4 linked regions of the Schizosaccharomyces pombe genome follow. Changing the gene in region 1 together with any one later gene gives a genetic interaction. Each region holds a gene or a part of one and is shown on either strand. Other genes may lie near its edges. The genes, in order: mog1, nxt2, def1 and cid13.

Region 1 (4,185 bases):
GAAATCCCATGTTTATCACTGATCCAAATAATCCAAGCCCATATGTTCATGACACAAAGACAGGTACTAATCCCATTTTGCGACTTGTTATTATCTCTCTCATTCCTATTGCAGCAGGCTTTGGTATGTCAGGTTTCTTTGGTGGTATGGCTTGTTGTTTGGGTCCAGCCTTTGGATTGTGCTGTAAAAAGTTTCCATCTATTTTTGCTGCAATTGCCCACACGATCCAAATTTTCATCTTCATTGCTATTTTTGAAGTCTGCTGGTTCCTTGATGGATGGTCATTACCCAAGACTGTGTTGGCCTTCTGTGCTGTTACTGCAATTCATCGTTTTATCTTCAAAATTTTAACACTATTATGTTTATCTCGTGAGGTCAAACAAGATAGTGCTAATATTTCTTGGTGGAGTGGTAAATGGTATGGCAAAGGATATGGCTATCATGCCTTTACTTTGCCTGCTCGTGAATTTGTCTGTAAAGCCATAGAACTTAATTTGTTTGCTACTGATTTCTTCTTGGGTCACTTATTACTGTTTTTTATGCTTCCTGTGATTTGTATCCCATATATTGATCGTTGGCATTCAGTTCTTCTTTTCTGGTTGCGCCCAAGTCGTCAAATTCGTCCTCCTATTTTCTCTACCAAGCAGAATAGACTGCGGAAACGTATTGTTCGTCGTTATTCAGCCTTGTACTTTTCAATTTTGGTAATATTCCTTATTCTTATTATTGTTCCATTGGCAGCTGGTGCAGAAATCCGCCAAGGATTAACTGCTTCTGAGGCTGTTGCCAAGGGTGCTGTTGGATGGAACCAAACTAACTCTTCAATTGGTAGCGGTATCATTCAACCAAGGGACACGAATTATACTGCTAATTATTCTTTCTGGTACGACAGATACCATTTCGAATTCAATACCACTTACTAGATGGGATTATTAGAAAAATCATTTAAAATGAATTTGAAAAGATGCGCTAGTTCGCTATTATATTACACTGATGTTCTGATGAGCTTTCGTCAAGTATCTCAGCAATTTATTAATTTTATTTGTTACACTCATTTCATTCATACATTTCAGCATGTGCTTGGTCCCATCTCTTCGACTTGAGTTATTGAGCTCTGAAGGATAAAAGCAAAGCTAAAGGGTTAACCGTTTATCATTTTTTACTCATACCATCTTTCTATCTACGTTACATTTGCTATTTCACCATTTACAAGTTTGAGATTGATGAGTTTTGTTACAAGCCTTTTCAGGTTACAGTTTGATGGGCTAGGATTTTATGCATATATATACATTTCTTCATTTATCTATATACAAATGAATAAGAATTCCCATTGGTTCACAAAACTTTTACCTATATTATTGCTGGTCAGTTAATGGATATTTGTTTAAAATATAAGGTGATGTAATTGTGTAAAAGTATTGAAGTAGATTATGATACCGTACATAAATTGATCTTTTGGTTGAATACTTATTATCTAGTGAACGTTTAATTTAGGTTTTTCAGATCAATAGAAAGTTTGAAATAACCACTCTAGTGTGCAATTCCATTTCTCTTTTGTATCACACAAGTGGAAGGCTGAACAACTAATCAACTTAATCGTAAAAGTTATCAGACGCCCTATCCTTGTATTAGTTATGGATATCTGAATGGACTCATGATTACAAGATTACGAGCGTCCTTTCATCCATTTGATATACTAGTTGTCAAAACGATATTAGAAACTATATATGTGTACAAAATTTTATTTTTAACATATCATTTTCATTAAAAATCATCAATTTGAATTTCTTTTTATTTTAATTTTAAATCAGTTTAGTAGTTACCGTGCAGTGCGTAAATATTGAAAATTGAATCTAGGCTCATTTAAAGCGTTTTACTAGCGATAAATATAATAATGAAACATAAAATAACACGCACTAACTTGTTACCGCAGTCGAATGAAATGGAGTGAAAATAGGAAAGAATCCTTTTGTGGTTCGAATACCAATCTGGTTCTTGAGACAAACAAATCTATTAGGTTTTTATATTTTTATAGTAATGGTACAGCTATTCGGTGGGGCTCTTTGTGCTGATTTCCCTCCTAAATTTCTCGATGCTAGCGTTTTGCGTCAGATTCCTGACAACCAAGAGGTGTTTTTGCAAGATTCCAAGGAAAACCTAACAGTGATCATTGAGCTTTTGGAAAAAATTGAGAAGCCATTTGATGGAAGTGTGGCAGCTTACCATTTCAATAGCATTGCATTCGATAATGATGCATCTCAAAGAGTAATTTGGAGAGACAAAAGTCTTGGTGAAGACGACTTTGAGGGCATGAGAAGCGAAAAGGCTAGTGGATCTTCTGTACAAGGTTGTCAGAGGGTCCTTGAAAAAGGAAAGCGAAATCCTGAATCCGCTACCAATGTGGCAATCTTCGTGAATGTGATAACTTTGATTGACTTTCAAACAGATATCGTAATCTCCGTAAATGCTCCTTTACCTAACACTTCCTCAGTTCCCTCTTCTGTTGAAAACATTCCCCCTTCTGATCAAAGCATCGTTCGCGCTGCTCTCGAAACAATACAGCGAGTTACTCGATCTCTTGTACTTGTCGATAAAACAGTATTTGCTTAAAGGATGATGGACATAGGCAAGCAAATTAACTAGCCCACAACACTTAATTAAGATTTTCATCTAGGGAAATACTTTTCAAGTTTTATTTTTCTTTATCCGAAAGGAATTGTTTCTCTTATTTATAAAAACCGGTTATTCCAACTTGTATGAAGGGTTTTAATAAAAACATCTGATACTTGATAACCGATTAGCAATGGTTTTCACTTTTTCTGCTATTATTTTAATTTTCCCATTCTTCCATTGTTAATAGTATAAGTTTCACTGTGTCTTTACAGTTTAATGTTTTATGATTTGAGAGTACAACGTAAAACGCTAGTTTCCAAAGAATAACGGAAATTACAATTTCAAGGTGTTTTGATTGTACAGCTTTTGTCCTTTACACTGCCGCTGTAGGACAGTGGTGATTAAAACAAGTTAATCATAAAGAATTATTAAACATTAAAATACTTTCTAATTGTCCCTAACTCCGTGCAAGTAAAGAACAAATATAGCGAATGAAACAATCTTTATGATTGAAACCTGTAAACGACTGACTAGAAAATACTGAATAAGAATTACCAAAAGATAGAAGATCTCTTCATTGAGAGGAGCTTTTCCACCCTTTGCAATAAAGAAAACAAACATTTAGGATATCATCATACGAAGAAGAACAGAAAAGAAGTAAAAGACAGAAAGTTCATCCCCCAAGACGGGTTCCTTTTCCGGGGAAAGAAGAAAAGGTCGACAGAGGTTCCGCAATGGGGAGTTGAGCATGCGACAGTTGATCAAAAGAGTGATAGTTTTTTACCCAAGACTGGAAGATTGGGTCCACATTTTGAGCCCAGCTTTTTAAGGGGATAGAACCAAGCATGAAAGGAGTACAATACCCCATAACAGCTCCGGATGCATGCCCGATAAAGCTAGCTTTTGGAACCAATATGGTAGTCATAATTAGGTAAATAATAGGAAAACAATATGCAGGAATGCTGAAAAGATTAAAAAAGCTGATTCTAAAAAATAAGTTAATAAACCGCCATCATTTAAAAGACAAGAGAGGTTCGACGTTTGCAAAAAATCATACAAACCAGGTTGTTTCTTAACATTGTGAGGAAAGAAGACGTGTGGAAGTATGCATCTGCAACCATAATTATAAGAAATGCTTACAATCGTTGTGGAGAGTGAACACAGGAAGCAGAGATAAAAGCAAAAGCCCATCCACTAAGTCCAGCAATAGAAACGTAATCTTTTCTCAAGAAAAAATGGTAGACAATTAAATGCATAATACCCGGGAAAAGAGTGTAAGGAATGACCGTCACCAAAATGCACGCCAAAGTGCCTTGCTTCTTTTCAAATTGAGACATTGCTGGCAACAGGGATACAAAGTTAAATACAATATGCAACATTGAAAGATGAAGAGTTACATAAGTTATAATTTCATACACTACTCTCTCCGTTATTAATTAAAGTACCAAGGAATTTTAACTTACGCTGCCTTTTTTGCAACAATCCTATCCAGCTAAGAGACAGAACCCCCGTGGATATTCCAAAGAAGGAAAGTGCATACACCAGAATGGCGATATAAGTTATTATTTGCGT
Region 2 (4,454 bases), on another chromosome or scaffold:
GTTATTACCTGATAGCTACTGCATGCAAAGATGGGAATGTTCGTATTTTTAAAGTTGAAACCCTTTGCGAAGAAGTATTTCAAGAGGAAGAAGATGCTGGAAATTCAATGACAGAAGACTCAAATTTCAATCTAAATTCTTTGAAGGTGGAACTCATTGGTGAATATGATAACCATAAATGTCAAGTGTGGAGATGCCGTTTTAATGTGACAGGAACTATTTTGAGCAGCTCGGGCGATGATGGGTGCGTTCGTTTATGGAAAGCGTCCTATGCAAATTTATTTAAATGCATATCTGTCGTTTCTTTAGAAAAGTAAGTTCAGAGATGCTTTCGGCCTCATGAATATATGATACTAACTTGTGACAGAAAACCTGAAAAATTGTGATTTACTTAGTTCAATTTTAATGTAACAGATACATTGAATGGCCGACCTTGCTTGGTTTCCTTTCTTAAATTATTTCATATTTACCAGCTAGATCATAACCAAATTGTAAAAAAGGAGATATTACTTTATAAATTTTTGGTTTTAATTTATAATTTTAGACAAGTGAACTAACATTCGCTTTGAGATTAAATTTTCATTTAGCGTAAAACTTCGAAATTAGACTAAGTCTTAATGTAAACTTTTAGGTAGAGTTCAATTCGAAAATTTGTTTTAACGAACTAAACAAGCGATGGGTTCAAAAAGCTATATCTGCTACAGGTTGTAGTTTGAAAATCCGGTAATCGCTACAAAAGCATAAAAAAAAAGAAAATGAAATTGCAGATAATCAAGATACTTGTATTAAATATTTTCACTATGATATTCTTCAACCATAGTTCAAACGAAACAGGTCATTTAAGACATAGTAGTTACCATTATTGTTAACAAGGTGAAAAACTTGGCTATAGCGCTGGGCCATTTGCTCTTCATCCAACTACAAAAAGGTTAAAAAAAGAGCAAAGCAAAAAAAAAAAAAATGAATAGAATAAGTAACATCAATCTTATAACTTACCAAAAGCTCACCTGTAACCATAACGATTACGGATCCAGTAGTACCAGTAGGTTGAGCATCCAAAGTTGAGATGCGGTGTTGAACGCGTTGAAAAGGCAGGCTCTATACCAAACAGTTAATAAAAAAAAGGAAGACGTTTCAGTTATTATCATACAACAAGTTTTTCCACAATGGCTTTAGTTCCTTGGAGTTGGGCTCCCTCAAAACTCAGCATCGACTCTTCTCTCTAATATATATAAGTTAGCTGCCCAGATAAATACACGTAGGATTAATTTCATAATTAGAAGTCGCATACGTATAGTGAAGAAAGTTGAGAACGATCGGAATCGAAAGTTTGGTAGTAAAATTGAGTGAACTGGGTCGCCAAAGCATTATAGTCTGCAGAGTATTAGCAATAAATCATACAAATTTTTATCTTACCAGCCATAATGAAAGATGGTGGTAAAAGGTAGACCTATTATTTCAAGTTCGAAAAATCGCGTCAAAAAAGATCGTACAGACACCTTAAGTAATTTAACGTAAAATGATACAACTCTTAATATGTAAAATAACATGATAAACTTATAGTTGTGTTATTTGGCAAAAGTCCTCTATTCGAATAGTATTGGCAATGGTAGAAAAACGAATTTGCAATAAGATTTGAAGGGGTTTTACTTCATGCAAACAACAGGATAGATGTTTATCCGTTCCTATTGAGACAAAATTTATGAGAAAAAATATGGTGCTAGCGTCTAACTAGTATCATGAACGAAATGGAACATAATATTTACTTGATTGTGAAGATTGCTTATTAAATGCTACATTCTTTTTTATAACGATGTATTTCACATTTTGCATAATTAATGCACCTTCAATCATAATTAAAAGAAAGCAACAAGTATTTGAGTTGGGATAAAAATGTAAAACTTAATCTATTAAATGTTCACATAATAAAATATGAAGATGACTACAAAATAGAACGTAACAAATAATAAAGGATAGAAGGAAACAAAAGCAAAACACCCACAGTTTGCTTTAATTCCTGGGTAAACTAGAAAACACGGAGCGAAGCCTTTGAGAGACAAAATAACTATAACGAAAGGGGAACATAATACATAATAAGTTATCTTCTATTGTGGATAATAGGAGACAAATTTTTTGATTGGAGCAAGCTTATCAAGCTTCGAACGTCTCGCCGAACACAGTATCTGCGACGGGATCGTTAGCATCCACCGTACGTGGATTCCCATGTGAATTTATTGAATTAACCGATGAATGGGTTGTTGTGCGACACGCATGTAAATTATCTGTCTCTTCGTTTTCTTGTAGTCCCAGGTTCTGAAACTGTTCATCAATGGACTTATTGACACTATAAAGTTTAAGGTTAGTTGATGGTCAAATATTTAAAAATAAACTTACAAAGTGAAACCACGAAATCTGTCCTGAATCGTGTTGGATAGAGGTGTCGAGGCATTAGCGGGATCAACATTGGAAACTATATTGATATTTTTCACATTAGTATTGGTAAACTCTTTATCAAAATTGGAAACATCCAGATCATTTTGAACATTCGGTTTAAAAGGCGGCTGAACCTTCTTCTTGCTAAGTAGGTCCCAATTTATGTCTGCAAAAAAAGGATGCTCTTTTAATTCAGTAGTGTCAGCAACTGCTCCTAAACGATGATTTGGATTGCGATTTAAAAGGCCTCGAACAAAGCTTCGACCCTCTGATGAAAGAACTCCTTTTGGAAAACGGACCTTTCCAAAGGCAATATTACGATACATTTGTTGGACGTCTGGAGCATAAAAGGGGCTCCATCCGCAGCACATCTCAAAGACAAGGACTCCTAAAGACCAGAAATCGACCTGTTTAGTATACCCCTTGTCCTCAAGTAAAACTTCAGGTGCCAAATATTCGGTGGTTCCACAAAAGGTATTAGTAGTTGCGTTAGCTGAAAGGTTTGCCTTAGACAAACCAAAATCGCAAAGAGCAATATGACCATCTGCATCTAATAGTATGTTTTCAGGCTTTAAATCTCGGTAAATAATATCATGTTTATGCAAATGTTCAAGAGCCAAAACAAGTTCGGCTATATAAAATTTAGCTCTTTGCTCAGGAAAGCGACCTTCATGTTGAAGATGCCAGAAAAGTTCGCCTCCACTCATATAATCAGTTATCAAATAAAGATCTGAAGCGGTCTGAAAGGAAAACTTTAAACCAACAATAAACGGAGATTCGTCTAATGAAGTCCTGACAAGTATATTCCTTTCGCCCAAGGTATGTGTAACCTCTTTTTTACGAACAATTAATTTTTTGGATATCTTTTTCATAGCATAAATCCGATTGGTATCGTTTTTACGGACCAAATAAACTTGCCCAAAAGTGCCTAAATAAAGTTAGTATACCGTAAATTTTTTAGCTTAAAGCAGCTTTACCTTTTCCGATTAAACGAAGGGCCGTAAAATCTTCTGGCCCATAACGAACATGTTCAATGTGCTCGTAAATTGTTTCCACTTTTATTTCACCCTCCAGAGACTTAGTTAAGTCAAGAGGCTCAAGCTTATACCATGCTTCCTGCACATATTCATGTAGGAAAATTGGTGTAATTTTAACGGAGCCCAAAAATTTATCGTCTTCATATTTGTCATATACAGATACAACCATTTGACTTTTCATTTTTGTCACATCAAATACAGTTTCAAAATCCCAATGAGGACAACGCACATCAGCCAACATTAGCTCAGAATGTAGTCCAGAAGAAGAACCGGAAGCAGATCCAGCAAGAGGACGGTTTTTAGAAGGAATGGAAATGGGTATCCCACCGTCAATGTCTTTAAAAGGAGGAGGTACCATAACCTGCGTTTTTTCAAAGGTGATTACTGCATAAGGTTGTGCATTAACACTTTTGACGTTCAAATCTCTACCTTGATGTAATCGAACATAAAGCCGTCCAAAAGCATGCTGACCATTTTTATCTTTTGGCACAACGGTATCATGCCTAATGTAACACGAAGATGGAGGTGTACGACTCTGTAGTAGTTTGGGTTTTTCTGAATATGTACCCATTGGTGTAATTCCATTGCTTTCGGAACTATTAGAACCAGATTCTTTATCTTCCTTTAAGGACTATGATAGGTTAGCCAAGTGAACAACAATTTATGGAGACAGTGATTTTTGAAAAACACAATAAAGAAAGCTATGGGGAAGATTGTCTTTCAAGCAAAAAATCAATTATAACATACCTGTTCTTTGTGAAGCTGAGCTGTAATCTCATTGTAACGCATCTTCATCCGATCCGACATGAAAACGGGATCATAGCCATTAGACGAAGCACCCTCTTTCCCTTCGTAATCGTTTACTTTCGTAGAATGGTCATTGGAAAGAACCGGTTGCGTTGAATGCGATTGTATTGTGGATGGCGATGCTTGATTTGTATTCTCAGAATTTGATGATCGATGCAATTTACCGAAAATTTCGGT
Region 3 (6,826 bases), on another chromosome or scaffold:
AACCCAACCCACTCATCATTGATCGCACTTTTCCTTACCCATTTGTTTACTGGATTCCATCCGATAACCTATGCAATCCTAAAATAGCGAGACTCGTGAAGTAACATACTGCGGGTCTCGCTATTTCGGTGGTGGTTTTCTTCTCACTATTTCTCTATTTCACGATGGGCAAATTTTTCTTTATGATGAAAATATCTTTTTCCCTTTCACGTTCCAAGTTCTGAAATCATTACTTACAAATTACTAAATTTCCTTTCTAACATCTTTCTCACTACTTTCCTAAATTACTCCTCGATGTGTTATTGCCATTGCTCCAACTTTCTCCGTTCTTTATACTTGAAATACAGTTAACCCTTTATAATGACTACCATTTTACTTGCTATTACGACTCGCTATTTTTGCGTTATATTGCTACTATTTTCAACCTTATAGGAATTAATGTTTCAAGACATCGATCTATTGAATTTAATTGGTTTGATTTGATTTGAATTATAATCTACTAGGAGTCTTTTTCCTTTTCAGAACTTTTTCTACGTTTGTGTATGACACTGTCTCTTCTTCAACTACATCTACATGAACGAATCTTGCCAGTAGTGAAGGTTAGACATTCTATTTTTTCATGAGAATTTTACAACAGCGACATGCTGTTTTGCTAAATTTGGATGTTTCAATTTGCTATATTTCTAGAATCAATAATACGTATTATACAAATTTGCTCTTCATTTCAATGTAAATAAAAGTATCAAGTTTTTCTATTCAGTAGACTTAGCGTATAGGGTTGACGTAGTGTTGTTGACTGAAGTGTGGCATATATTACTAGCGAAGCTTTTTTTTTTTTACACTTTGCTTTAGCGAATTCGCTTAACATTTGCCGTCAAAAATTGTTTAAAATAGGAATGCCGAGTGAACCACCCCCCTAAATTGCCAACTGATTAAACGTGTTTCATTAGCACTTGACTTTTGGAAATATAATAATCATTACTTGAAACTAGTTATCCCACTTCGCATTGCTTACCCACACCTACAAATACCTTAACATCAAATCTTTATTTACCCTTTCCCTCTTCCAAAACGCCAGTTTGTTTTAATAATGCAATAAAAAAATACTCTATGAACATACAAGGAATTACCATATAATGGCAACATTACGGCGTGGTATGATATGTTATGATATGAACAAGCAACATTTCAAACTACATAATTAAGCACTATCAAACAGAAAACACATGTGACCACATAGCCATATAAATCACACACATATATATATTGAAAAACTTCATAAATTCGATTGTCCCAATAAAATCGATTTTACCCTTCCATTAATAGCATCTTGTCCGCAATTATTTTTAGCCTATTTTTGAATCCTTATAAAAAGCATTTTCCAACTTCTACGTTATCAAACTTTTTGATCATAAGTTCAATTTAAGCATTACCGTACCAACCTCCTGGTCGGTTTATAAATGACTGGTTGTATGCATTATAGCCTCCTAATCCATTACTACCTGCATTGGTAGATGCTCCAGAGTTGAACGGAAACCCAGCGGGTTGGCTGTTTGCATTGTTGACCTTGTTAGCATTGCTTTGAAAAGAGGTTGTCTGCTGAGTAGCAGCATTGGTCAATGGCGTTTGTTGAGGAGGTAAGCCATAAGGAGAGGCCGCATTGGCACTAAGGTTTTCAAAACTTCCAACATTACCCATAAACATACCAGGAGCCGCACGTCCCATCCCTGACATGGAAGACAAACCACCCAAAGTACTTGACATGCTGTTCGCCCCGGTTACGCCTCCATTTCCAATCACAGAGTCACGATGTCCAGCCGCTTTCTCAGTCATGCCGCTAGTATTTGCAGTGGCATTATTAATTGGGTTGCTAGTTTGTGTTCCACTCATACCACTTACATTGCCAGGCTGTTGTCTGTTGTACACGTTGCTGTGTCCACCAAAGATGGGAGGGAAATCATTAAAGCCGCTCTGAGACATGTATCCTTGCTGGGGCTGTCCAAACTTGTTATTATTGTAAGGCATCGTACCGTATCCATAAGACACATAAGGAATAGGATACATTGGAGGAAATGCATAAGGTTGGGGCTGTTGTTGAGAAACAACAGGGCTAGGAGTCGCTGTTCCAGCAGCAGGTAGAGAAGTAGCATTAGAAGATGCAACCTTGTTATGCATTACCGAGTGCACATCTGGTGTATTCGACGCACTACCAGCGACATTATCATATTGTGAGTATTGATTACGCTCATTATAGTAATGAGCTGCTGGTGCAGCTTGACCATATTCAATAGGAGACATAGTAGTGTATGCTGGATGACTAGTCTGTTGATATTGTTGAGAAGTATTTGAAGCATATCCCAATTCAGTACTATGGTCGATGTGTTGAAAATTGTCGAATGGGCTATTGGCGGAGCGGTTTTCCACAGGATTCATAAATCTAGAAGAATATGGAAGTGCAGTTGTCTCCCCAGCATTTGAAGATGCAGTTTCGTTGTTAAAAGCAGCTCCGGTAGACGGAGGAATAAGACTAGCACCAGCATATGGTTGAGGGGAAATTCCATGTGTAGCAGGAGAATAAATACCGCCATATCCGGCACTTTGTTTACCAACCACCGGGCCACTTGTAGCACTTGTGGATGCAGCGGGTATAGTCGTTTGGGCTGATACTTGAGGAGGGATGGCCGAGACAGAAGAGGCGTTTCCACTGGCCGGTAAATTTACATCGTGTAAACCACGATATGGTGTCTCGTTAACATGAGATTCCTTCAAGTTTTCGGGAACCTTCGATTGTGGAGCACGGCTTTCATATGCTGAAGTGTGTTGTTTCTTTGGGATTTTGGTGGATTCAGCAACTTTGCTCGCCTCTTTTTTTGCCTCTGGCTTTGGTGAAACTGTCTTTTTAGGAAAATAGGAACTTCTTGGTCCAGACTGTGCTATGTTGTCTGAAGAAGACTTTGTCGATTTTTTGTCCTCACCCCCAAGTGTCAAGCTTCCGAAACGCACTTGAACCTTTTCGGGAATAGCAGCAGTATTAGCAACAGGCATAACGACGGGGAATCTATCAGAAAGTAATCGAGCAGTAGTCATACTAGTTGTAGAGCTTTGAGAGCCAACAGCGGCTTGCTTCGCAAAGGAGGGCTTAGGTAGGGAAGCAGAAGAGATGTTGGAAAGCCCAGGAGCGGGCTTGACTGCATTTATGGCAAATGGGGCAGTACTCTTTTTGGGAGCTGAGGTAGCTGTGGAGGGGGTCGTTTCAACATTTGCGGGAGTTGCAGAGTCCTGGGATTTGTGAGGGAAAGGAACAGATGAGGATGACAGTTCAGCAGGTTTTTCGTAAGCAGCGGAAACATTAGTTTTAGAGGGTTGAGAAGGAGCGATAGAGGGTTTAGAAGGTTCGGATTCGGGAGCGGGAGCGGGAGCGGGAGTGACCTTTTTCTTCGACTTTGCAACTGAAGCCCAAGCCTTCTTTATAGGCTTTGAAGATGCAACAGCCTGATCAGCCGCACTGGTCGACTTTGCTGAGGCCGAAGTACCGCCTGCGGTGCCGTTCGTATTTGTTGAAGCAGCGGTATTAGCCGATGTTAAAACTGAAGCTTGTTCATTAGATGTAGTATGATCTTTCATTGAGGAATCTTCATTAATAGTACCAGGATCAACGGAAGAAGACACTGTCGTTGATGCAGGAGCTTTGGTAGAAATTTCTGAGGAAGGAAGATCGCCAGTACCAGCAGGCTTTTCTAAAGAGGATGGTGCATGAACGGAAGAAGGATCTGAGGGAGCTCCTGCTTTTGATTTTCGAACCCCCCGAGAAGTATCCTTAGAAGCGGAAGGTTTCTTTGATTTACGTGTAGCATTACGAAAGGTGGAAGAGACATTATCGGAAACTGGAGCATGACTTGTTGGTTTGGACTTTGTTTTAGGGATTGGCTTCTTTTTAACTTCACCCCATTTGGAGGCGTGACCTTCAGTAATATGCAATATGGTCAGTTCCAAATCCCGGTCCGCTTCTTCTAAAGCAAAACTTAAATCATCAATCGTCCAGCTAGGAAACAGCTCTTGCAATACGCTTAACTGCGAATCACGATCAAATTCGAGCTCAAGCGCATTTGATCCCTCTATATTACTAGTCTGAGACGAATTTGCCGGGCCAGATTTTCCTTTGGTGCCTCGCCTTCCCTTCGCTCCTCTCTTGGCGGAAGAGGATGAAGTTTTATTATCTTGCGATATATTTAACGCTGTATCTGTGTGTTGCTTTTCTGAAACTTGTTCGGTATTTCCGACCTTCTTTGGCCGAAACTTTTTATTCTCACTCATTTTTGATTCTACTTTTCTTTACAAAAATTAATACAGGTCTTGAAAATCGACAAGGCACGTGTATTCGTGCTTCAAGACGATATGCAAGATTTTTCGTGTTATTTAAGGGTAGTGGTTCTGGCTGCGTTTTGGTGTCGTGCAGCATAGTGCTTTTGCTTAAATGGAAATTGCCTATACCAGAGCAAGGTGGTAGTGAATGCGCTAAAGTGCAAACTATAGCTTTCCTTGAAATTTTTATACATAGAAAAACTTATAACGTTATAAAGAACAATGTTATTGTTTAAATTTTACTTTACTTTTTCTTCATTTTTGCGATTACCTTTTCTAAAAGCTTGATTTATATAGTAGTGGAGTGCAGTTTACTATTGTATTTAACGATTTACCGTTGTGTATCTTTATTGCTCTTAAGACAATAGCTAGTTAGCTGCTTGCCTGAATACATGAAAATATGATGAAAGTAGAGCTCATTGTATTAACTTTTCTATTGCCCAATTTCTTCGATACTGTTAAAAGATGTGCAATTCGTTTAGCTAAATTCAAGTTGACTAAACACCTTTCGTTCCATGCTTTGCTATTACAGATTCCTAACACGTTGGTATGTTTAGAAATTTGCAATGCAATATCGGGTATTCAGTTGGTCAATTTATGAAAACTTTAATTACTGCTTCAAGTAATAATCCATCCGTTCTAATTACGCGGCTTCAGTAACATTCGAAGCTCTTCATTCACTTTGTTGGGTTCAAGTGAACCACACTTATAAACGTGATGCCCTTTATCTAAAAAAATAAATATGAAGCCTGCTAATATTAAATTAACAATAAAAACAAGAAACATTGCTTTGGCCGGGAATCGAACCCGGGTCGAATCGATGGCAACGATTCATTATACCACTAAACCACCAAAGCTTGTTAGAATGCTCTATTAAAAAGCATATATCTATTTAATTGTAGAGTTATAAAAACATAGAATATTGATAAAATAACATTATAATTTATTCAAAAAAACTAAATTGTACAGCTGAATAATCGCCTAGTTATATTAAGATAAATTCTAAAAGCATTATTATCAAAGTTTCTGTCAATGCTTATAACTAATGTGTCAAATGGTTTGATGAAGCGTTCGCATTATTTTACTATTTCATCTTTAATTTTGTCATTTTTTACAAATTTTCGTTGTTTTTTAAAAAAAATTGCTGTGAACTTTAGTAGTATCATCTCGCAATTTATATTGATTTTTCTTCTTTTTATTTTTATTTTATTTTTTTATTCAATTGTTAGTAACCAAAATTAAGTCACCATTTTTGGCAATTCAAATGACTAACTAATTATAAAATAATAAAATCAAACGTGCTAAGATTCTATGTTTAAATTGCTAAAGTCAATACTCTCTTCTTGTGAAGAGTCCATTTTCAAAACGACAACATAACAGAAAACTGTAAAGAGTAATGAAAAGAAACCCACATTTCAAGGAATAGCATATCTATCTATTGTTGCACTATAATTTTTTAACAAAAGCGGCACATTAGAAACCATTTTCTCAAATAAAAAATTGATTTTACATTGAAAACTGTCAACGATGAACAATAAACAGTGCATTCGTATGACAACAAGATATGGACAAGTTAATTCGTACGCTAGAATTGTTCTCAAATGTTTACAGATAGGTTTGATATATTTCAAAATCTTTATTTGTCACTATTTTTTACAGTATCATCAACAAAGCAGCATAAAAAATTCAGTGAAGCCGTTAACATTGTAAGAATAAAATAATATTCCGAAAAAAAAAGAAAGGAGCCTACAGCACCCCGGATTCCCATGTTGTCTCCAACCATAGTACTAACGAGGCCCTCAGACGCTTAACTGCAGTGATCGGACGGGAACTGGTGTTTTCGCCTAGGTGTGGCCGTAGACAGTTACTAAGCATATTTAATAAATTTATACACATACCTAAAGCTGCGAACAAGTATTAATCAGGTTTTGAAATAAATGTAATTTATATTCCTTCATGTGAAGCTAATAAAATAAATTGATAATAAAGATATCTTACTTTAAGTTCTCATATGTGTTTAAACTGAGTATTTACAATCCAGCATATTTTGTGTTGTTTGAGAATATGTCTCCAAAAGAAGTGCGTCTTCTTTTATATAAGTAGAAAGTAAAGGGACAAAACAATTTCAATTCTATTCATTCGAAACGCTTATCGGGAAAAGTATTTCCGATTCAGAGGAATAAAAAAGAAAGACAAAAAACTTCAGTGGTTTATTCAAATCAGCCAAGACGAGTCCCAAGTTAAAACGACAAACAGTATTTTAACATTATTGAAAATATCATAAACTAAACCGATTTCAACCCTTTCCAAAATCGACCCTTCTCGAAACTATTGGAAACCAGTTTATATGTAATACAATGGCAAGACTGAATTTCTTATAGTATGTAAAAGCACTGTTTTAAAGCATAATGAAGATATCTCTAATCCCAAATAAACATTGAGCTTGCGAAATTTACGAAGCATA
Region 4 (6,704 bases), on another chromosome or scaffold:
GGTTCAGCGAATGACAGGGCTGGCGCGACATATTGCTCGCGAGCCGTTGAAAATGAATTTTTTTGCTCTACTGGAGCCATGGAGGAAATTAGTTGTTGATTCTCCTTGGCATAAGGTTTAGAGGAAGTACTAGTCATGCGGGCATTGATGTTAAGATTATTGTTCCTCGACATCATTTGATCAGGGGAGGAAGAACGGCCTACTCCTGAATCAGGATCGAAATCGGAATCCACAAATCGATTAGTAAAGTCTGTGTGGGGAGTCAAATCGCTATCGTCCACAAATCTCCCCGGGTCAGAAGGTGGAAGATCGCTTGTTTTGCTGTATCGACTCGATCGCGATGCGGGACGTCGAACGTCCAAACGTTGAGCAGTACGAGTTGAGTAGTAACGCCTTAAAGATTTTTGAGGTACTCGAGGAGAGCTACTTTCATACTCCCCACGTGTGCGATAGCTAGCTGACTCATCGGGCATGCGATGATGCGAAGCATGATTAGCAGCGTTTCGTTTGCTCAAACGACGTCCATCTAGAGAAGGGAGGGTAGCCTTTAATTCTGATGAGACATAATAACGACTACTGCGAGACATCGCTCCATCTTTCGAGGAAATAGTTGCGCTTTTCGTTGGTCCGTAACTTAAATTCATAGAGGAAGCCGGTACTGCGCCAAAACTGTTCCCTGAATCGTTTAAATTACTCCAAAATCTTCTTCCTCCACCACTTCTAGTGTCTATGTTTGCTTTTCGATCGCCGTAAGTAAGTGACCGACCACTGTGAAGTTGACTATTTCCAACCGCCGATAAATCTTCCACAAAGTATGAAGATTCAATTGGATTTTGGATTATAGAGCTCATTCAAGTAAATACACGCAAACTGTTTTCACCTGAACCCTATTACTCTCTAAAGTTCGATAAGCAGCGTTTGCCGTTTTTGAAAAATTCCCCCTTTTATTCCGAACAACCTCAAATTTATGTTACAATACCTCTTGAGCTATTCGAATATGAACGTTTTTCGAGTTTCCTTTAAATTCTCAAAAAACCCCAATTTTTCACTCAATCCGCTCTCAAATTTTCAATCTTCGAGTTCAAGGAAGAGCAAAACAACTTAGTGAGTGAATTCACCTTGCGTACTACGGTATACTGAGTGACATCATCAATGCGGATAACCGCATTAAATATCGAACGGTGTTGATCATGCTTACCTCTTGTTAATCCGCAAAAAGCTATACTATGCTATTTAACACTATTGAGCTTAACCCATTTTACCTTAAAACTATCGTTAAAAAAGTTAGGCAAGTCATGTAAAATTAAAGATATGCAAATTGATTTAATGCAATGCATCAAACTCTTCAATAAAAATTTACAGAGCTTTAGGTAAACTAAAGTAAATCCATCAACACTGTGAAGTGTGATGGATATGTGAAAAAACAACGGTAACAAGGCAACGTAGTAAATAAAGATTTATTCAATCAATCAAACTATCATTTCAGCAGGGGAGAGATATTTAAAAAAAAAAATAAAAAAAAACATTTTCCCATGCTGTACAACTCATACCAGTGCTTTGTTCGCACTCACATTAATGGGTTGATGATTCACTCCTGTGCAGGCTTTCGACAGAGTATGTAAAAACCCGTTGCTTAAAATCAATGGCATAAGATTTATTCCCATGACAAGGAGCATCTCAAGGAGATCTAATCAATTGCAAAAAAAAGTTATGTAAATAAACGTGATGAAATCCAAACTTCTTAGCAAACTCAATAACTGAAAAGCGATTAGTGTTCATCTCGTAAGACTTGCTAGTATTTTTCCTAGCTCAAAATGTACCATATAGTAGGTAAATTCTTTGTGTTTTTTTTAATTTTTGGCGTTTTCTCATTTTTTAAACCAAATCAGAATTTAAACAAAATATGTTCTGACAACACTATTCAAGCCATCAATGGCGGGTAAAATGTAAAGACAACGAAAACTGAGTACGAAGTTTTGTTGTAGGTAGAGGAAGGGGAAACACGGTCAAAATGATTAAAGGGATAGGGGGTACTTGTAAGTTATTAAACTTATAAGAGTGAAGAGTAAAAGCAATCTAGACAGAAGATATAGTTCCTAAAAAGACTGATAGTTCGTGAATGCTAATATGCAAAACCACCAAGATATCAACCTTTACAAATGCTAATGTTTCCACTGAACTTAAGAACACAATTTAGGCTTTTAAATAATTCTCGCGATAAACAGTACGCAAAGAAAACGCACATTCAACAAAATTTTTCGTATGTGCAATAGAAGGGAAAAATAGTTTTATAAATAGTAAAACGATATAATTGAGCCGAAAACTCCACACATAACCAGAAAACCAATAGTAAATAGTAAAAATTGCAAATAATAAAATGAAAAAACTTTCCTAAGTCATTTTATCATTAAATATAACGGAAGAAAGGAAAAAGAAAAGAAGAAGTAAAGTGGACAACAAAGATAAACGAAAGCGGGCAAGCGAATAAGGCTCAAGTATTGGCGAAATCAATATGCAAAAATAATGTAAAAAGTATGAATTAGAAAAATTAAGATAGAAAGATAGCTACTAACGAACCATCAGCGAACGTCACCAAACCTTCAGCATCAACTCTTGAATGCTTGTACTGTGGATAATACCGGCTCACTGTGTAAGCTAACTGGCGATACTACTTCAGAAGAAGAGGAATTTGAAGGAGGTGAATTGTTATCCGTAGGAGTAAAAGAGAAGGCATCAGGATAGTACTGGAATGGACCCGAAGATTGCTTCTTTTTGTGAAACTTATTGCGAGAATATCGCCGAGAATTAGACAAATTTTTTTCGTGACGATCCCCGCCATGCCTCTCATCAAAATGGTGTGAAGATTTGGGGTAGGGAGAATTATACCATGTATAAAAGTCCATGTATGAGGGTGGAAGATAGCTATTATTATTAATATAGCATGCATAGGTGTAAGGGTCAACAAAGGTATAAGGGACATTGGGAGGGATTGCAGGGACGTCGTTTGAGTATATAGAAGAGTAGTCAATGGATGAATTAATATTCTGATTATAATAGGGAGAAGCGGTTGCATTATAAGGATCAAAGGCCCAAGCAAAATGTGATGGCTCAGGAGGGGATTCTGTACAGCTGGTGTCCGAAGAGTCACGACCATGGGAGAAACCAGGAACTATTTCCAATTGTAGTTCATTTACATAATCGTCCATAAAGCTTGTGTCAGTTAGAGAGGGAAAAGTAAATTGCGAACAAGCATCGTCGACATTGCAATTATACGCTAAAAGACGGAAAACACGTCGAAATTCCAATTGTATTCCTTTCATGGTAATCTCATCTGCAGTATTAGCTAGATTTCGAGATGTATGGAAAGGCTCTTCAACACACAGAAAATTGTTAAGCTGAAATTGCCATCCTTTTGCTCGTTTCGAAAGAAAGGTACCGTGTCTAATGGATAAAACAAAATGCTCGTAATCAAATAAATAACCAAAAAATCGAAAAAACTCTACGAACAGGATACCAAGAGACTCCTCGTTTTTGTCACCAAAACCATGAACAAGATCTGGATCGTCGAAAAACGACACATCCAGCCCGTCAGTCATAGTAGACGAATCTTGTAAATGAGGAAGCATTTGCAAGCTGGGAAGAATCGGTGGATCGCGCTTTTGTAAAAAGTTTATAACCATACAGCTTATGGTGTAAGAAGTGAGTGTACCGCCCTCGGCAGCGTCATTCAAGCATCGTCTTTTTGCCCAATATTTAATCATAACAATCAAGGGCCGAACTCGGGGATCACAAAGAACGTAAGAGCGCATCAAACGCGTGTTTAAGGTAGATATAGTTTTATTGATATTGCAATCGCATGATAGTTGTAATTCTGAGTCCCAAACCTTTACAATTGGCACTTTAGCTGTTGAAATGCAAACGACCTTTTTAAGTCCGTTCCTAGCAAAGGCAGCTGACACCTCGCAGGTCGTTGGAGCACATTGAGGCGGATCAGTAATGATACACAAATCAATGTCTGATGCATTGCTGGCAAGAAGAGATTGGGTTGACCCAAAAAGGGAGGTTTTGATATTTTTATAGGGGAATTCTTTTTTCAATATTTGTTCGAGTTTCTGCACAAATGCATATCGACGTTCTAAACCCGAGTCGTTCAGTATAATAGAGTCATACAACTCGTACAGTTGAGAAGAAATTAGATCAGTATCAATATCAACTAAATTCTTTAATGATAGAGGATGTACTGGCGGAAGTGGATCCGCACCGAGGCTATAAGGAATACGCCTTCTATATTGAAAGCTGCGAGTTTCAAATTTGCAACCGCCAACGCAATTAGCGTTGTCCATAGTATTAAGAGGGTAAGAAGCTTCTAAGGTTTAATAAGTTGCAAATTCTCTATGGATTCCGACGTTATCCTACCTTGTCAGCTAGTAAAGGCGTGAGTTCTTTGTAATATGATCAGCTTTGATCTGAAACGATCCAGCAAGAACAGTTCAAATGTACGAGCCCTATCGACAAGAAAAGACAATTTAGAAGTACTTCTAAGTTTCAAGATCGTATTGATGAATTAATATGAAGTTGGTAATGTTTGTAGCTATTCTTAGGAAGAGGTGTGGGATAAAAGAACCGCCTAACAGCAATACGTACGTACATAGGTATCAGCTTTCCTACACAAGGAACAAGTACGGCATCAACATAGGATCGGTAAATAAGTAACAAATGAATATACAACGCCGTTATAAAGTAACCTTAATATATTCACGTAAGACACCTTTAAAGCAACGTTCAGCTAATGATATTTTTACAATCTTCAACTGAAAACAATAAACAAAGTAATCATCAAAGAAAAAACGCAAACAATGACGTTGGCATGACAACGAGCATAATTGACACCTTTCTTGACGTTTTGACGTTAAATAGCGTGATTCCGTAATCTGCGTTATTCTATAAACAAACTAGCAATACATAAACATACATGATCAATGTTGCTCCCACAAAGCATGGACTTGACTTTCCAATTGAGTGGAAACGTTCGTGTAATACTTTACTACTAACGAATGTACAGCAGACAATATTAAATAAAAAACGCCGCCAAGTAAGCTATCCATCTAACTCCAAATACCATACAATTGACTCCTTTAATAAGAAACATAAATCAAACAATCTAACGGAATTTGAAATCGTTTCATTTATTCACTAAAATCTACGCTAAAACATGACACAACTTCATCTAGAAATTACATCTATGTCATCAAACGACACCACAGTTGTAATATAATAGATGAAATTAAACACGTCAGAAAACACCAGCTGCCCTACATAATACGACCAAAAGGAAACATATCATGTAAGAGATCATCGCATAGAAAGACAGCAAAACAATTAGGTAAAAAACCTAATCGAAAAGCATGCCTTCAAAGAATTAAAAGTCCTCACTCTGAGGGCAACGGTGCCTCCTATCATCATCCGTGTTGAGTTCTGTGGCTAGGTTAGGAAACCCAAGCCGGACGTATACTATAGAAATGATCCTATGGAGTATCGTCGATAGTGTTTTGTTGAGGATAATGACCCGTATATATAGTAAATATAACGGAAAAGCAGTCACATTCATTTCCAATCAACGAATAATGTTGAACTTTCAAGTATAATGCAGTGTCAATTACACTATATTAAAAAGACTTTGCAAGGCGGTGAAGCTGCTCTTAAATTACAATAAGCATGAAAATCATATTTCGGTAAATTAGTAAAAGAAGTCATGAAAATAGAGCTTAAGGCCGAGAAAACAAAAAAAAAATTTACAAATTTTTTAACTAGTTAGAAAAGGTTTAATAAAACTGGTAGGCTCCTCTATTCTATAACTTGTAATCGCCGACAGCCATGGCTTTAAAAAGTTGCTACTTGTTGTTACTTGTCATTAAACTGGTGAACACTAACTCCTTTAGAAGTTCGTACAGCAATTTGCACTTCAACCAACTACTTGGCAGACTTAAAAAACATGTCTGATACAACTTCATTGAATGTGTAAGAATGACTAAGATATATAAATAACTAATTCAGTAGTCCAGAATTGGAGTCTCCCCCTATTGAGCGGGTGGAATTAGAATCTTTACTTGTAATGAATATCATCAAGCACTGCCGTGATTCTTTTCCTAATATGGGAACAATTGGTAAGTGTAGTCATTGGAGAATAAGTTTTCCCTATTTTTCGAAATGATAAAACTTGCAATTTTTCTGCATCAAAGATGCAGCTATGCATTTGTCAGCTCAGTAATGCTCTACTTAGTGAAATTTCTTATCAACCACAGTTTCTCTCTTGAAATAATATTTTTAACTAACTTTCGTTCAGGTCAGCTTGTTGGTATTGACATTGATGGTGTTTTACAAGTCAGTAGCAGCTTCGAGTCTCCGTCTGTTCTTGAAAATGAAGAGTCTGCTGTTAACAAGTCTGTTTCCGGTAAAGCACGCCAAGCTCATACTGAGGCGATGCTTAATCGTCTTCAGTACATTGGTGCTGTTACTGGTCACGTTGGTTGGTATTTGGGAGCCTATGTTAGTTCATTCTTAAGTAGCCCCTTTTTTGTAGAAACGCAATATGCTTATCAAAAGGCAAACCCCAACAGTATCGCTTTTCTTTATGATTTGTCTCAATCTTCTAATGGAACTTTGTACATGCGTGCTTATCAGTTAACTCCAGAGTTTATGGCTGC

The links.
Region 2: of mog1 (region 1) and nxt2, a mutation in one rescues a mutant of the other (synthetic rescue), as found in Schizosaccharomyces pombe (one study listed by BioGRID).
Region 3: of mog1 (region 1) and def1, a mutation in one rescues a mutant of the other (synthetic rescue), as found in Schizosaccharomyces pombe (one study listed by BioGRID).
Region 4: of mog1 (region 1) and cid13, a mutation in one rescues a mutant of the other (synthetic rescue), as found in Schizosaccharomyces pombe (one study listed by BioGRID).

Annotation. Positions count from the first base shown.
Region 1 is NC_003421.2:2,246,017-2,250,201, reverse strand, and holds mog1 (Ran GTPase-binding protein Mog1), read left to right. Parts: upstream 1-1,996; 5' UTR 1,997-2,037; coding exon 2,038-2,610; 3' UTR 2,611-2,841; downstream 2,842-4,185. Other genes in the region: cell wall and secondary septum 1,6 branched 1,3-beta-glucan synthase catalytic subunit Bgs4, read left to right, coding at 1-923; Golgi rhomboid protease Rbd2, read right to left, coding at 3,287-3,599, 3,754-4,030, 4,077-4,185. UniProt on the Schizosaccharomyces pombe protein: Involved in the Ran-GTPase system for nuclear protein import and poly(A)+ mRNA export. Required for mitosis-to-interphase transition.
Region 2 is NC_003424.3:2,400,150-2,404,603, forward strand, and holds nxt2 (nuclear import protein Nxt2), read right to left. Parts: upstream 1,447-4,454; 5' UTR 1,424-1,446; coding exon 1,417-1,423; intron 1,375-1,416; coding exon 1,292-1,374; intron 1,223-1,291; coding exon 1,151-1,222; intron 1,099-1,150; coding exon 997-1,098; intron 919-996; coding exon 811-918; 3' UTR 501-810; downstream 1-500. Other genes in the region: GATOR2-SEACAT complex WD repeat subunit Seh1, read left to right, coding at 1-313, 368-386; serine/threonine protein kinase S6K family Sck1, read right to left, coding at 2,152-2,344, 2,395-3,361, 3,411-4,101, 4,218-4,454.
Region 3 is NC_003423.3:568,549-575,374, reverse strand, and holds def1 (RNAPII degradation factor Def1), read right to left. Parts: upstream 4,438-6,826; 5' UTR 4,315-4,437; coding exon 1,423-4,314; 3' UTR 1,055-1,422; downstream 1-1,054.
Region 4 is NC_003424.3:982,405-989,108, forward strand, and holds cid13 (cytoplasmic poly(A) polymerase Cid13), read right to left. Parts: upstream 4,617-6,704; 5' UTR 4,344-4,616; coding exon 2,607-4,343; 3' UTR 1,163-2,606; downstream 1-1,162. Other genes in the region: protein Slf1, read right to left, coding at 1-851; tif308 (translation initiation factor eIF3h (p40)), read left to right, coding at 5,993-6,018, 6,058-6,164, 6,344-6,704. UniProt on the Schizosaccharomyces pombe protein: Polymerase that creates the 3' poly(A) tail of suc22 mRNA.